Linked DNA regions of Oryctolagus cuniculus. The protein of the gene in region 2 purifies or fractionates together with the protein of the main gene of each other region. This does not show direct contact. Links are inferred from orthologs where the notes say so. Each region holds a gene or a part of one and is shown on either strand. Other genes may lie near its edges.

What was found.
Region 1: the proteins of CAPZA2 (region 2) and MTCL1 purify together in Homo sapiens (affinity purification with mass spectrometry; 3 studies listed by BioGRID and IntAct, counting the BioPlex papers as one, with this or other methods). This does not show direct contact. The link is inferred for Oryctolagus cuniculus from reciprocal best matches to the Homo sapiens genes CAPZA2 and MTCL1.

Annotation. Positions count from the first base shown.
Region 1 is NC_091441.1:65,828,295-65,834,558, reverse strand, and holds the start of MTCL1 (microtubule cross-linking factor 1), read right to left. Parts: upstream 3,422-6,264; 5' UTR 3,058-3,421; coding exon 1,999-3,057; intron 1-1,998. UniProt on the Homo sapiens protein: Microtubule-associated factor involved in the late phase of epithelial polarization and microtubule dynamics regulation.
Region 2 is NC_091434.1:152,376,506-152,382,769, forward strand, and holds the start of CAPZA2 (F-actin-capping protein subunit alpha-2), read left to right. Parts: upstream 1-2,549; 5' UTR 2,550-2,649; coding exon 2,650-2,688; intron 2,689-6,264. UniProt on the Homo sapiens protein: F-actin-capping proteins bind in a Ca(2+)-independent manner to the fast growing ends of actin filaments (barbed end) thereby blocking the exchange of subunits at these ends.

The DNA of each region.
Region 1 (6,264 bases), on a different chromosome or scaffold from region 2:
TGCCATGACCATTCACGCCCAGGCGAGTGGCGAGGTGCCCAGGATGGCCCCTGCACCTAGAGAGAAGACACAGGAGCCCTCGGGAAGCCAAAACCTCGAACCACATCGAGCTAACACAACAACTCCGAAGCGGTGTAGGTGAGAAACCAGGCCTGTTGGAAGCCTGGTGCAGCGGAAGGCAGAGGAAAGAAAACAGAAGCAGCGCTGCTTACTCGTTACCTCGGCTGAAGTCCCTTCAAGTTTTCTGGTTCTCAGTTTCAGTTTCTCCTGAGAAACTGGAGTTGTGATAAACACAGAGGCAGTCACAGCCTGCGTGCTGTGAAGAAGCACTGACCAGTCACACAGAACAGCACAGACCCCGGGGTCACTGAGAATCCAACCACCAGAAAGAGAAAGCAAATTACCAGGCACCCACGAACGCACTTTGACATGAAGCTGGATCGCCCACCCTGACATCAAACATGTTGCGAGAAACACCCTTTCTTGAAAGAAAATCAGTTTGCTATTGCCCAGCAGTCCTGATTCAGGAAAACATGACTCCAGGAGAAAACGCTGGGTGGAGTGGGCCGGGGACTGCGCTCTGAGCTGAGGCTACACGAGGGAACGAGATGATCTTTCTCACCCTCGGGGAGCTCAGCTCGCACTTGCTGGGATTTGTACCAGGGCTGCTCTCACCATAGAGCCACGCCACACGGTACAACAGAGTTGCCTTTTCTCCCCCAACACCTAGGGGTTTGGCACGGTAGTCTATTACATAACGGGAGGTGACACACACACACTACTTGAAACACCCTGCTCCAATCCCCAATCTGCCCTCTCTTCTCTTCCTCTGCCTCACTCTGCACAAGATAAAATAACTCCCGATAAGAGGGTTAGCTTTAGGACTGCTCAGCAGTTAATGTGTTCTGATTCTAGCTTGCACTGCAAGCCCTCAACACTGTTCACCTTAAAAACCCAATCCTCAGTCACACTGGCCGAAAACTGGGCCTTGAGCCAGCAGGTTCATCATTTGCTGAGCAAACAGCTCAACTCCCATAACCTACTGATAAAGCAGGGCCACCCGGCCAGTCTGGGAGGATATTCATTAAGATCTTAACAGAGAAGTACATTGACTTACACCACTGGAGTCATTTACTAACCTGAGGACTACAATAAACTCAAAGTTGGCTTGCTCCCTCTCAAGTCACCAGCAATGTCTTGGTTCCCCAGCACCCTCCATGCCCTCTGCCTCTCCAGCCCAGCCCTCCTCCCCAGGGAAAAAGGACAGAGCCAGATTAAGCACCGCGGTGCTAACAAGACTAAGAGGCCACATTAGCAGGCCTTGCTGGACAACACTGAGAGTGCAGTGGAAGCCGTGATTCCTTAGAAAGTGCTGGCAGGGCCTGTCCTGACACAGAAAAACCTGCTCGTGCATGCGCGCAAAGGGCTGGCAGCAAAACACCACTGTTCCTCCACGCAGGCCACACTCCAAGGACCCCTTGTGAACTGCAGGTGTGTCACTATGAACGCCAGGGCCCCCTGTTGCCTGTGCTACCCAGAGGAGACCGGGAGGGACCCCAGCTCCTTCTGCAACTGCAGGAGAAGCCGCAGGCGAGTCTGCAGCCTTGGGCCCCTGCGCTTTCCAGAACCTACACAGGACTGCAACACACCTGCACCTAGGGGACCAGAAAGCTCGGCCAGGCAAAGCCTGCTGCCACAGGTGAGGGGGCAGGTACTGGCTTGGAGGTGAGGGTCGGCTGATGTAGCCAAACGGATGACGGCCATCTCTCCCCCAACTTGTCCACAAAAGCAAAAGGCGCGCTCAAAAGACAGCAAGACTTCCAGAAAAGCTAAGCGGGTGAGAACGCGCGACCCACAGGTCTCGGGCTCCCTCCTGAAGTTTGGCCGAAAGTCCCAGCGCCTAATGAGCGCAGGGGCAGGGAAGTGCAGGGCTCGCGCAACCCAGCCCGCAGCAGCGAACACTCCGGCGGCGCGCCCGGGACACCCGCGCCCACTCACCTTGAGATAGTCGTTCTCCGAGCGAAGCTCTTCCATCTCCCGCAGCAGCTCCTCCTCCTCTGCCGCCGGCAGCTGCGCCAGCCGGGGCTGCTCGCCCAGGCTGGGCTCTTTGGGTGTCCCGGGAACCGCTCGCTCCGGCGGCACGCGTCCCCCAGCATCCTCCGCCGCACACGGTCCCGGAGACCCCATGGGGACCCCGCCTGGGCTGCTTCGGCCCCCGAGAGAGGCAGTGGGGGGCGCGGCGAGGAGCACTGGGGGCTCGGGGCTGCCCGGCGGCGCCCCCCGAGCTGCAGAGCTTGGCGTGGGCGCTCCTCGCAGGGGTTCCCGATCGCTGGAGCCGGTGCCGGACTCCGCATCGCTGCTGGCTGCTGGGAGCAGGCGCTGCTCGTCGGACAGGGGTTCGGAGGGGCAGTCGGAGAGGTCGGAGCTGCTGTCCGTGTGGCTGATGCGCGAGCCCGGCGCAGGGGAGCCGGCCACCGAGGTCACGGAGAGGGTCACGGAGGGGACGCGAGCGGCCGGGGCCGGGGGGCCGAGGGTGCGGACGGCTGGCGCCCCGGAACCGCGCTTGGCTTTGCGGCCCTTGGCGGCGGCAGGCGACAGTTCGGCCGCGGGCGGCTTCCCGGCCCGAGGCAGTGGCTCGGAGGGCCCCGCGCGCGCCGCCCTCCGGGTTCCCGGGGCGGCCTTGGCGCCGCCCGCCGCCCTGGCCCCAGCGCCCGGCGGCGGCTTGTCCTTCGCGCCGGGGACGCCGCCGCTGCGCCGGGAGAGGCGGCCGGGAGCAGCCAGGGGCCCCGGCGAGGGCGGTGCCTTGCCCGCCAGGCTTGGCGAGCGCGGGGCGGCGGGCACCGCGACTCGGCTCTGGGAGGGGGCAGCCGGGGCCGGGCCGGGCGCGGAGGGCCGGGCGTGCAGGTCCTTGAGGAAGGGTCTGGCGGGCGAGGGTGCGCGGTGCAGCCGCCTTCTCTCGGCCAGCGGGTGGAGGTGGTGGTGGCGGTGGTGCTGGCCGGGCGACTGAGGCTTAGCGTCCGGGGCGCCGCCGCCGGTGGGGCCGTTCAGCGTCTCCATGGCCGGGGCCGGGACCGCCGGCAGCGGCTCGGGGCGGCAGTGGCGGCGGCGTGCAGCCTCCTCGCACGCTGGCTCATCACTGGTCCCCAGCCCCGCCCGGCAGCGCCCCGCGCTCTCGCCGTCCCCCACCCCCGATTCCCCCCGGGGATCCCCGCCTCGCTCTGGCCTCGCCGAGGTCACAGCCGTTCCAGTTCTCCCGGCACCGTCGCTCGCATCCTCTAGACTCCGGGCTCGCGGGAGCGCCGCCGCCGCCTCTCACTCCTGCGCTGGCCCCGCGGCGGCGCTGCTGGCGCGCGCCCGCCTCCCCGCCCACTGCCAGCCCGCGCCCCACGGCGCCCGCCCGCTCCGGCCCGCGCCTGCCCGCGCCGCTCCCGGCGGAGAAAGGCTGCACGCGCGCGCCCCGCGCCCGCTGCCCGCTGCGCATGCCCCGCCTCCCGCCAGCCGCGCCGGGGCCGGGGGCGGGCCGGGGGCGGAGCCTGAGCGCCGCGGGGCGGACGCCGGAGGAGTCCACGCGGCCTCGCCGTCCCGGGTCCCTGCCGGCTCTCTGATGTCCTGCGTGGTGGCGGCGGAGCTGCGTCGGGGAGTTAGTGGGTGAGCGCCGGCCTCCGGAGGACACTGAGGCTGCGCCCTCTGCGGCGGGTGCGATGGGCGCCCGCTTTCCCCGGCTGACCAACGCCCCACTGGCGCTCCGGCCACGCCCAGGACCCCGCAGTTCCCTCCCTCCGCGGCCTGTCCTTTAAGGACCGTGGTACCCGATGCGCTGATCGCGTCCACGCGGGCAGGGCGCTGGGCGGCTGGCACCCCGGGAGGGAGGCGCTTCTGTTGGAAGCCGGAGCTGAGGTTTGCCAAGCTTAGGGTCTGGAACAGAGCTCGCATTTGTAGTCCCGGCCGCAAGCCAGGCATTGTTTTAGTTATCTCTCCCAACAGTCCTGAGCTGGAATGACTTGTGAGGACACAGTCACGGGCTGTGGGGTCCCTCGCCTGAGGTGCCTTAGCCGGCCCAGGGCCGAGCCGGGATCCAAACCCAGATCCACGGGAGTTCTCGGTCCTGCAGGCGCTTCGCTCCAAGAGCCTGGAGCTTTGTGTCCTGTTCTGCCACCTGGGCAAAGCACCTGACCTTCTGAACCCTAGCTCCTTCACCTGTGTGATCAGAAAATAAGTCCACCCGAGTGTGTGAGGATTAAATGGGCAAATAGGAGGACACACTGCGCCAAACGAAAAGTGCTTTGTGTCTACCACTGAGCACAGGTGTTGTGTGGTGGGCAATAAATACCCAAAGGAATAAGGCGCAAGCTGCCCTGTAGCCTTGGCATTGGCAGGAGGGAGAGGGCACACAATAATTCCAATGTGCTGGTGTGCAGGGGTTAAACCAGCCTGGGGTGGGGGGAGTCCCATTTTCCTAGAAGGACAGTTGGGGCTTGCCACTGAAAGCCCAGCTCATCCAGAGCATGGGGAGAGCGCCTGGTATAGGTGGGAGGGCAGGTAGGTGAGGCTGGAGGGTGGGGGCACCACATCCTGGAGCCTAGGGAAGTAGTCATGGCTGTAGCCATAAGCACAGGTGAGGGGACAGCAGAAATAAGGATAGAGAAAAGAGGACAGACTCGTGAAAGTGAAAGGAGGGGCTGGTGCTATGGCACAGTGGATTAAAGCCCTGGCCCGCAGTACTAGCATCCCATATGGGCGCTGGTTCTAGTCCCGACTGCTCCTCTTCCAATCCAGCTCTCTGCTATGGCCTGGGACAGCGGTAGAAGACGGCCCAGGTGCTTGGAACCCTGCACTCACATGGGAGACCTGGAAGAAGCTCCTGGCTCCTGGCTTTGGATCGGCGCAGTTGCGGCGATCTGGGGAGTGAACCAGCAGATGGAAGACCTCTCTCTGTCTCTACCTCTCTCTAAAGACTCTGTCTTTCAAATAAATAAAATAAATTTTTAAAAAAGAAAGAAAGAAAGTGAAAGGAAGCACAGATTCTGCAGAATCACTCAGCCTGGCCACTTCCTTAAAAAAAAAAAAGTCGTCTTACAAATCAGGAAAGCAGTGCTCACGGAAGTCATCTTGCCTGGTCCTGGACTGAGCTCTGAGGGCACCCAAACCTTGCCTACTCTGCTGCTGTCTCTGGTGTTTCTGGGTGGCTTCTCTGGGAACCGGGAGACAGCACATACAACATGTAACCTGTGCCATAAAATCTCTAATTCAGAACCTGCAAGACCTCAGCCCCCTCTCAACGGAGGGCTAGAACAGGACACTGGTTGGCTCTGGTGAGGGGGTGGGTGACCTGAGAGGTGACTGCAGCACGCCTGCCTAGCCGGCCCTCCATGGGAGGGTGCCTTGACTCTCCCCCCTCCATCCCCTCGCGGCCCCTGTGGGTCTGAAACTCCAGCCCCAACCTTCACTGGCAATGCCCCCAGAAACCAGGTGTCTCCCAACACCCTCAGGGTCCTGAACAATGATGCCCAGGACTCAGCACAAGCTTACAAGCTCCGCATGGCGCCTGCAAGCGTGCCTGAGGCCACCCCAAACATGTTTCAGCAAGGGCGTCTTCCCAAAATGTCAGGCTGATGACCAGGAAGTTTGCAGCCAGCTCTCTCTTTTCCGACAGGTAACCAGCCAAACGGAACCCACCCTCCTGATCATGGCAGACGTGACTTCTGGCCCATGGCAAGCAGGTGTTCAATAAGCTTTGCTTTCTAATATCCTGGGAGTTTCTGGTCTAAAGAGATCTGCCTGTATAATCGTTTTTAAAGCCATGTGAAGATTTATTTGTTTACTTGAAAAGTAGAGTTACAGAGAGGCAGAGAGGGAAAGGTCTTCCATCCCTTGGTTTACTCCCCAGATGGTCACAACAGCCGGAGCTGGGCAGATCCGAAGCCAGGAGCCAGGAGTTTCTTCCGGGTCTCCCATGTGGGTGCAGGAGCCCAAGCACCTGGGCCATCTTCTACTGCTTTCCCAGGCCATAGCAGAGAGCTGGATCAGAAGTGGAGCAGCCAGGACTCAAATCGGGGCCCATATGCGGCTGTACTTGCTTTGTCCTCAGCACTAGGCCCCGCCCTTCCTCTGGGAGGGAACGACCCAGCCTGGCTGGATTTTCCTGGGTCTGCTGCGTTTGGCCACTGGGGGGGCGCTATGGGGAGATTGGTGTGATGGACCAGGAAGGGAGAAACCCCCCACAGGGAGTCTCTGATGTATCTCTCCTCTCTCTCTCTGTCTCCA
Region 2 (6,264 bases):
TGAGATCCTTGGCCAAACCAAATGGTTTATTCTCTTTTGTGTCTTCTCCCTAATGTCTTGCCTTCGATAGGACACCTGCTTTTTCCTGCATGTTAGCAAGCTTCCACTTCCTGAACTCTCCTTAAATGAACATTCAGTAAATTCCTTAATGTCTTGTGGGGCCAGCACAGTGGCATAGCCACTGAAGCTGCCACTTGCAATGCTGGCATCCTGCCAGGGCATTTGTTTGTGTGCTGGCTACTCCTCTTCCAATCCAGCTTCCTGCTAATGGCCTGGTAAAAGAAGGAGAAGATGGTCCAAGTGTTTGAGCCCCTGCCACCCAAGCAGGAGACCTGAAAGAAGTTCCTGGCTCCTGGCTTTAGCCTAGCTCAGCCCTGGTCATTGCAGCCATCTGAGAAGTGAACCAGCAGATGGAAGATAGCTAGCTCTCTCTCTCTCTCTCTCTCTCTCTCTCTCTCTCTCTCTCTCTCTCTTTCTCCCCCTGTTCTTCTGTAACTCTGACTCTGAAATATATAATCTTTAAAATAATCATAATGTCTTGTATCTGAATAGTTACTTAAGCTCTTTACAGAACCCTTAGATATCACGTGCATCTGTCAGATTCATCTTGCTGGGCATTATTTCTGAGCATATCATGTCACTGTGGGAAAGTTTTCAACAGCTTCTCTTTTTCTACTGAATGAAGTTTTAACTCCAACCTAAACTAATGCCTTGCTACTTAAAGTATGGCCTCCAAAGCAGGAGCATTGGCATCACCTGGGAGCTTGTTAGACCTGCAGATTCTACAGCCCCATCCCGGACTATTGAATCAATGATACTCTCAAATTTTCCGTTTTCATAATTTATTTTTTAAATATTTTATTTATTTAAGAAGTAGAGTTACAGAGAGAGGGAGAGACAGAGAGAAAGGTCTTCCATCTGCTGGTTCACTCCCCACATGGCCGCAACAGCTGGAGCTGAGGCGATTTGAAGCCAGAAGCCAGGAGCATCTTCTGGATCTCCCATGCTGATGCAGAGCCCAAGCACTTGGGCTATCTTCAACTGCTTTCCCAGGCCATACCAGAGAGCTAGAGCAGGAGCTGGCACTTAGTTCAGCAATGCCCCAGCAAATTTAACAAAATCCCCAGCTGATGGCACATCAACTGTATCTTTACTCTCTTGTAAACTTGAAGCTTCAGAAACTGGAGTTGTGGCATAGCAGGTAAAGTCACTGCCTGCGACACCACCATCACATATGGGTGCCAGTTCCGGTCCTGCTGCTCTGCTTCCCATCCAGGGCCCTGTTAATGGCCTGGGAAGAGCAGCAAAAGATGGTCCAAGTGCTCAGGCCCCTGTTGCCTATGTGGGAGACCCAGCTGAAGCTCCTGGCTTCGGCCTGGCTCAGCACCGGCAGTTACAGCCACTTGGGAGAGTGAACCAAGGATGGAAGATCTCTCTCCCTCTAACTTTGACATTCAAAAAATAAATAAATAAAATCTTGAAGTCTCAGAAGGGTTGCCAAATTTCACATATGAAAGTAAAGAACATCCAGTAAAATTAGAAACGGGTAACTTTTCAGTGTATCTCAAATGCTTCATTGGACACTTTCTTTTAAAAAGCCATTGTTTATTTGTAATTCGTATTTTGCTAGTTGTCCTGTATTTAATCTGGCCACCCTATTAAGGATGGTAGGATCCATTCCCTGGCAAAAGTGCAGCGCCTCCCCCAACTGCTCAGTGTGTGTCTGAAGAATAGAGGAAGTGAGTTATTTGAAAAGAGAGGTTTTGGGGCCAGCACTGGTATAGTAGGCTAAGCCTCTGCCTGCCAGACTGGCAAATCATTTGGGCTCCAGTTTCTGTCCTGGCTGCTCCTTTCTCGATCCGGCTCCGTACTAATGGCCTGGGAAAGCAGTGGAAGACAGCCCAAGTCCTGGGGTCCCTGCACCTGCGTGGGAGATCTGGAAGAATCTCCTGGCTCCTGGCTTCAGATAGACCCAGATCTGGCAGTTGTGGCCATTTGGGGAGTGAACCAGCAGATGGAAGATCTCTGTAACTACCTCTCAAATAAATAAAACCTTTAAAAAAGTGAGATTTCTGCCTTTTTGCGCAACATTGAAAATCCCGAGACTAACACGATGCCCGGTGCACAATAAAAGACCAATAAACGTTGAACGAGTAAACGAATTTACCTAGCACAATCTCACAATTACGGACTGGGATTGTGTGTGCCTGTTTTAATTAAAGCCGAGTATTTATCTAAGGATCCTATTTGTACGCTTTTTCACATTGGAGCTGGCAGAGTTCAGGACTCGATGGGAACGAATCAAGAGCTCAGAATGTACTCGTCGCAGACGGGGCCCATATGGTCACTGGTGGGGAGAAATCCCCGTTCGTTCTCCGGAGGCTGACAAGCCTGCGGCAGGCAGCAAGCGGCAGGCGGCAGTCGGAAACGCTTCCCTCTCCCGGCTTCCGAGGCGCCCGCGCCTGCGCACAGCCGCACTCCGGGCCCCCAGGGCCGGGTTGAGGGAGGCGGGGCTCCCAAGGCGCGTGCGCGGCGGTCTGGGCGGCGGGCCCCTCCCTTGGCGGGGGCGCGCGACACGGAGGACCGCACCGAAAGGGGGAAGTCAGGTGGCCGCTGCCGCCGCCGCCACGGTCTGTCGCCAGAAGGAAGATGGCGGATCTGGAGGAGCAGTTGTCTGATGAGGAGAAGGTAAGAGCCGCGGGGGCGGCGGCGGCGAGGGTCGGTGCGGAGCCGGGAGAGCTTCGGCGTGTCACCGCCGAGTCTGGACGGTGGCGACGGGCTTTGGCCGACGGGCTGTGCCCTCGGCTGCCCTTCCTCCCCCGCCTCGCTGTGCCCTAGTGCCTGCCCCTGTCAGTCAGTCGAGGCCCCCGCGCGGGCGCCCGTCTCTGACGGGCCTGCTCGCGCCGCTCCTTGTAGGGTGTGTGCTCCGAAAATAGGAAGCGGGCGCCGGGCGGCGGCTGCGGGCCCGGCGCGGAGGGCGGGGGCGGGGGCGGGGGGCGCGAGCGGAGGGCGGCGGCTGCGCGGGACCCTCTGCCTCGGCGCCGGCCGCGGGGCCGCTGCGCGGAGCACCGGGGACTGCAGAGGGGGTCTGTGTTCCGGCCTGGGAGAGGCCCAAGGGCAGTGCCCAGCCCGGCGGCCTGGCCTGGAGCGTCGCCGGGGGTGAGGGGGAAGGGGGAAAATCGCTTAGGAAGCACTTGGGCCTTCCACTTCCCCCGCCCCATCGCCAGAAGGCTGCCTTTCCTCCTCCTCCTCCTCCTCCTCCTCCTCCTCTCCGGCTTCCCTTTTGCCTACGGAGGTTTCTTGCTTTTTCTTTGCTTCGCTTTCGCTGGAAGCCGTGCAGCTCCGTGTTCCTTGAGAGGGATCCGAGTTGCTCACAAAAAGACCCCTTCCCGTAGTTCTTTTCTGCCCCGGTGGGCAGCAGCCTCCGGAGGCGGGGGGCGACCTGGTGCCACCCCGTTTCTTCCTGCTGGGACTTCTTCCGAAGCTAGGCGGTGCAACTCCTTTTAACCGTGTGTTCGATGCTGTGACAGCAATGGAACCAGATGAGAGACTTAAGTCCTCAGACGTGTGAAATAAGAAAACCGATTCTAGAACTAATTCTCTCTTATTCGCCCGTTCCCTTTGGCTGCAGGGGAAGGCCTGGTTCTCGGGGATGGGCGGGGTGGGGAGGAACCCTAATAATTTTTGACTATTTCCTGGAGAGGACCTTGATGTTTCTCAGACTTAAAAGTATCTAACACGACGTGAATAAGATAGTGTGACCGTTTTGGAAATGCCCGTCTGTAACCATGCTGCGTGCCTATGTTCTCAAAATAGTAAGGTTTTGTAGGAAACACAGGCAAGTTACATTACGATGTTTCACAAACCCTAATATCAGTCTAAGGATACTTTTATTTCTTGTGTTCTTGCATCAAAATCTAAGATTCTCTTTCCCCAGCTGAGTGTGCAGAAGGCAGCTCTGTCTTCAGTTTTAAAAGTGTTTTCTGTCTATGAAGTGGTAATAAAGAAACAACAACAGAAAAAAAAAAAAGAGGAGGGGAGAGCAACAAGATTCTCCATAATGGACAGGCCCCTGTCGGAGATCCGGCAAAAGTTACTGGGCACTGTTCATATGTGTGGTATTGGTAAACAGGCCGGAGGTGGCAACTCAAAGTGGACATGAGCAAACACATGCATACACGGTTCAGTAGTGCGGTTTCTCGAAGAGATTGTTGTGCCTTTACTCAATCATTCTGAAGTGGTTGTTAGTAGTTCAAGTGGCTAAAAATGTAGTTGGGGAGAGAGTACTCAGTGTGGGAGTTAATACAGACCTGCCATGTGTTGCAAAGGTCCGGAATAGCAAAATGAGATGCCAAGATCCCTTATTATCTGGCACTCTGGGAGCACCAAGTTCCAGAAGGGGCAGAAGCTGGCCATCCAGCTTGCCCAGCATAATATTGGATGAGTGAGTGAAAATTCCAGCTTGGATTTTGGTGTTTCTGTTTTTATTCAGACTTTTATGAAAATATTCTGTAGATATTTTACATACAGATTTCATCCCTGTATATGCTAATTTAAGGAAAAAACAGCTCAGTCAGTGGAATTTTAATACTCGAATTATGAAAATGCTTTTTTCAATCTTTGGGGAGAAGGATGTTGGTAAGGGATGAGAAATTGTGATATTTTTAAACTTAAATTTAAATCATGTTACTCTTTCTGCTCCTTTATTTGTAAGCTTCGAAAACAACCTTTTTGTACTCTTAAGCTTTGAAATTTTCATTCTGAAAGGCAGATCTAAGGGAAGGGAGCTGTTAAGATTTGTGTAAAACCCTTTGTATATAGACAAATACATTCTTAAATTTGTTATGAACTTGAGGTGGGTAGTTTTTTTTTTGTTTTTTTTGTTTTTTGACAGGCAGAGCGGACAATGAGAGAGAGAGAGAGAGAGAAAGGTCTTCCTTTGCCGTTGGTTCACCCTCCAATGGCCACCACGGCCGGCGCGCTGCAGCCGGCGCACCGTACTGATCCGATGGCAGGAGCCAGGAGCCAGGTGCTTTTCCTGGTCTCCCATGGGGTGCAGGGCCCAAGCACTTGGGCCATCCTCCACTGCACTCCCTGGCCACAGCAGAGAGCTGGCCTGGAAGAGGGGCAACCGGGACAGAATCCGGCGCCCCGACCGGGACTAGAACCCGGTGTGCCGGTGCCGCAAGGCGGAGGATTAGCCTAGTGAGCCGCAGCGCTGGCCTAGGTGGGTAGTTTTATTATTACCATTTCACAGATGAGTAAAGAGAGGTTTTAAGAGCTTTAAGTAATTCTTCCAAGGATAACTAGGTAGAAAGTGGCAAAGATGGTAGTTGGATCCAAGTTTGTCAGAGTTCAAATTCCATGCTCTTGTGATACCATGTTCTTTTAAACAAAATTGGTTACGCGATCCTTTTCTGGGTTTGTCTCTGTTTTTAATTTGTTGACAATTTTTTAAAAAGGAGAAACAATGGTTCTTTTAAAGTAAAATTTGTAGATACCAAAGATTAAATAGTGATGACTTCTAATATGTTTTTTGGTTTGTTTTTTTATTATTTAGCACATTTAAATATTTTTATTACTGGTATAATTTCATATATGCCTTATAGTAGGAAGCATCTTAGAAACTGATCTAGAATAAGAGCTTTGCTTTTAATAATCATGTACAGTTACTTTTTAGGATACCACTAGTGAAACTTAATGACCCTGGGGTCAGCCCTGTGTTGTATCGGGTAAAGCCTGCAGTTCTGGCATCCCATACAGGCACCAGTTCGAGTCCTGGCTGTTCCACTTCCAATCCAGCTCTCTGCCATGGCCTGGAAATGCAGTAGAAGATGGCCCAAGTGCTTGAGCCCCTGCACCTGCATGGGACACCTGGAAGAAGCTCCTGGCTCCTGGCTTCGGATAGGCCCAGCTCCAGTTGCAGCCATTTAGGGGATGAACCAGTGGATGAAAGATCTCTCTCATTGTGCCTCTGCCGCTCTGTAACTCTGCCTTTCAAATAAATAAATAAATCTTAAACAACAACAACAACAACAAAACTTAATGACCTTTTCTCTTGGCCATCAGGTTAATAATATTTAGCTGAAGAAGCACATTGAAGTTCCTTTTTTTTTTTTTTTTTTTTTTTTGCTTTAAGACTTTATTTATTTGAGAGGCAAAGTTACAGAGAGGGGTCTTTCAACCACTGGTTCACTCCCCAGATGGCTGCAATGGTCAGAGGTAGACCTTTGTGAGGCCAGGAGCTTCTTCTGGGTCTCCCAC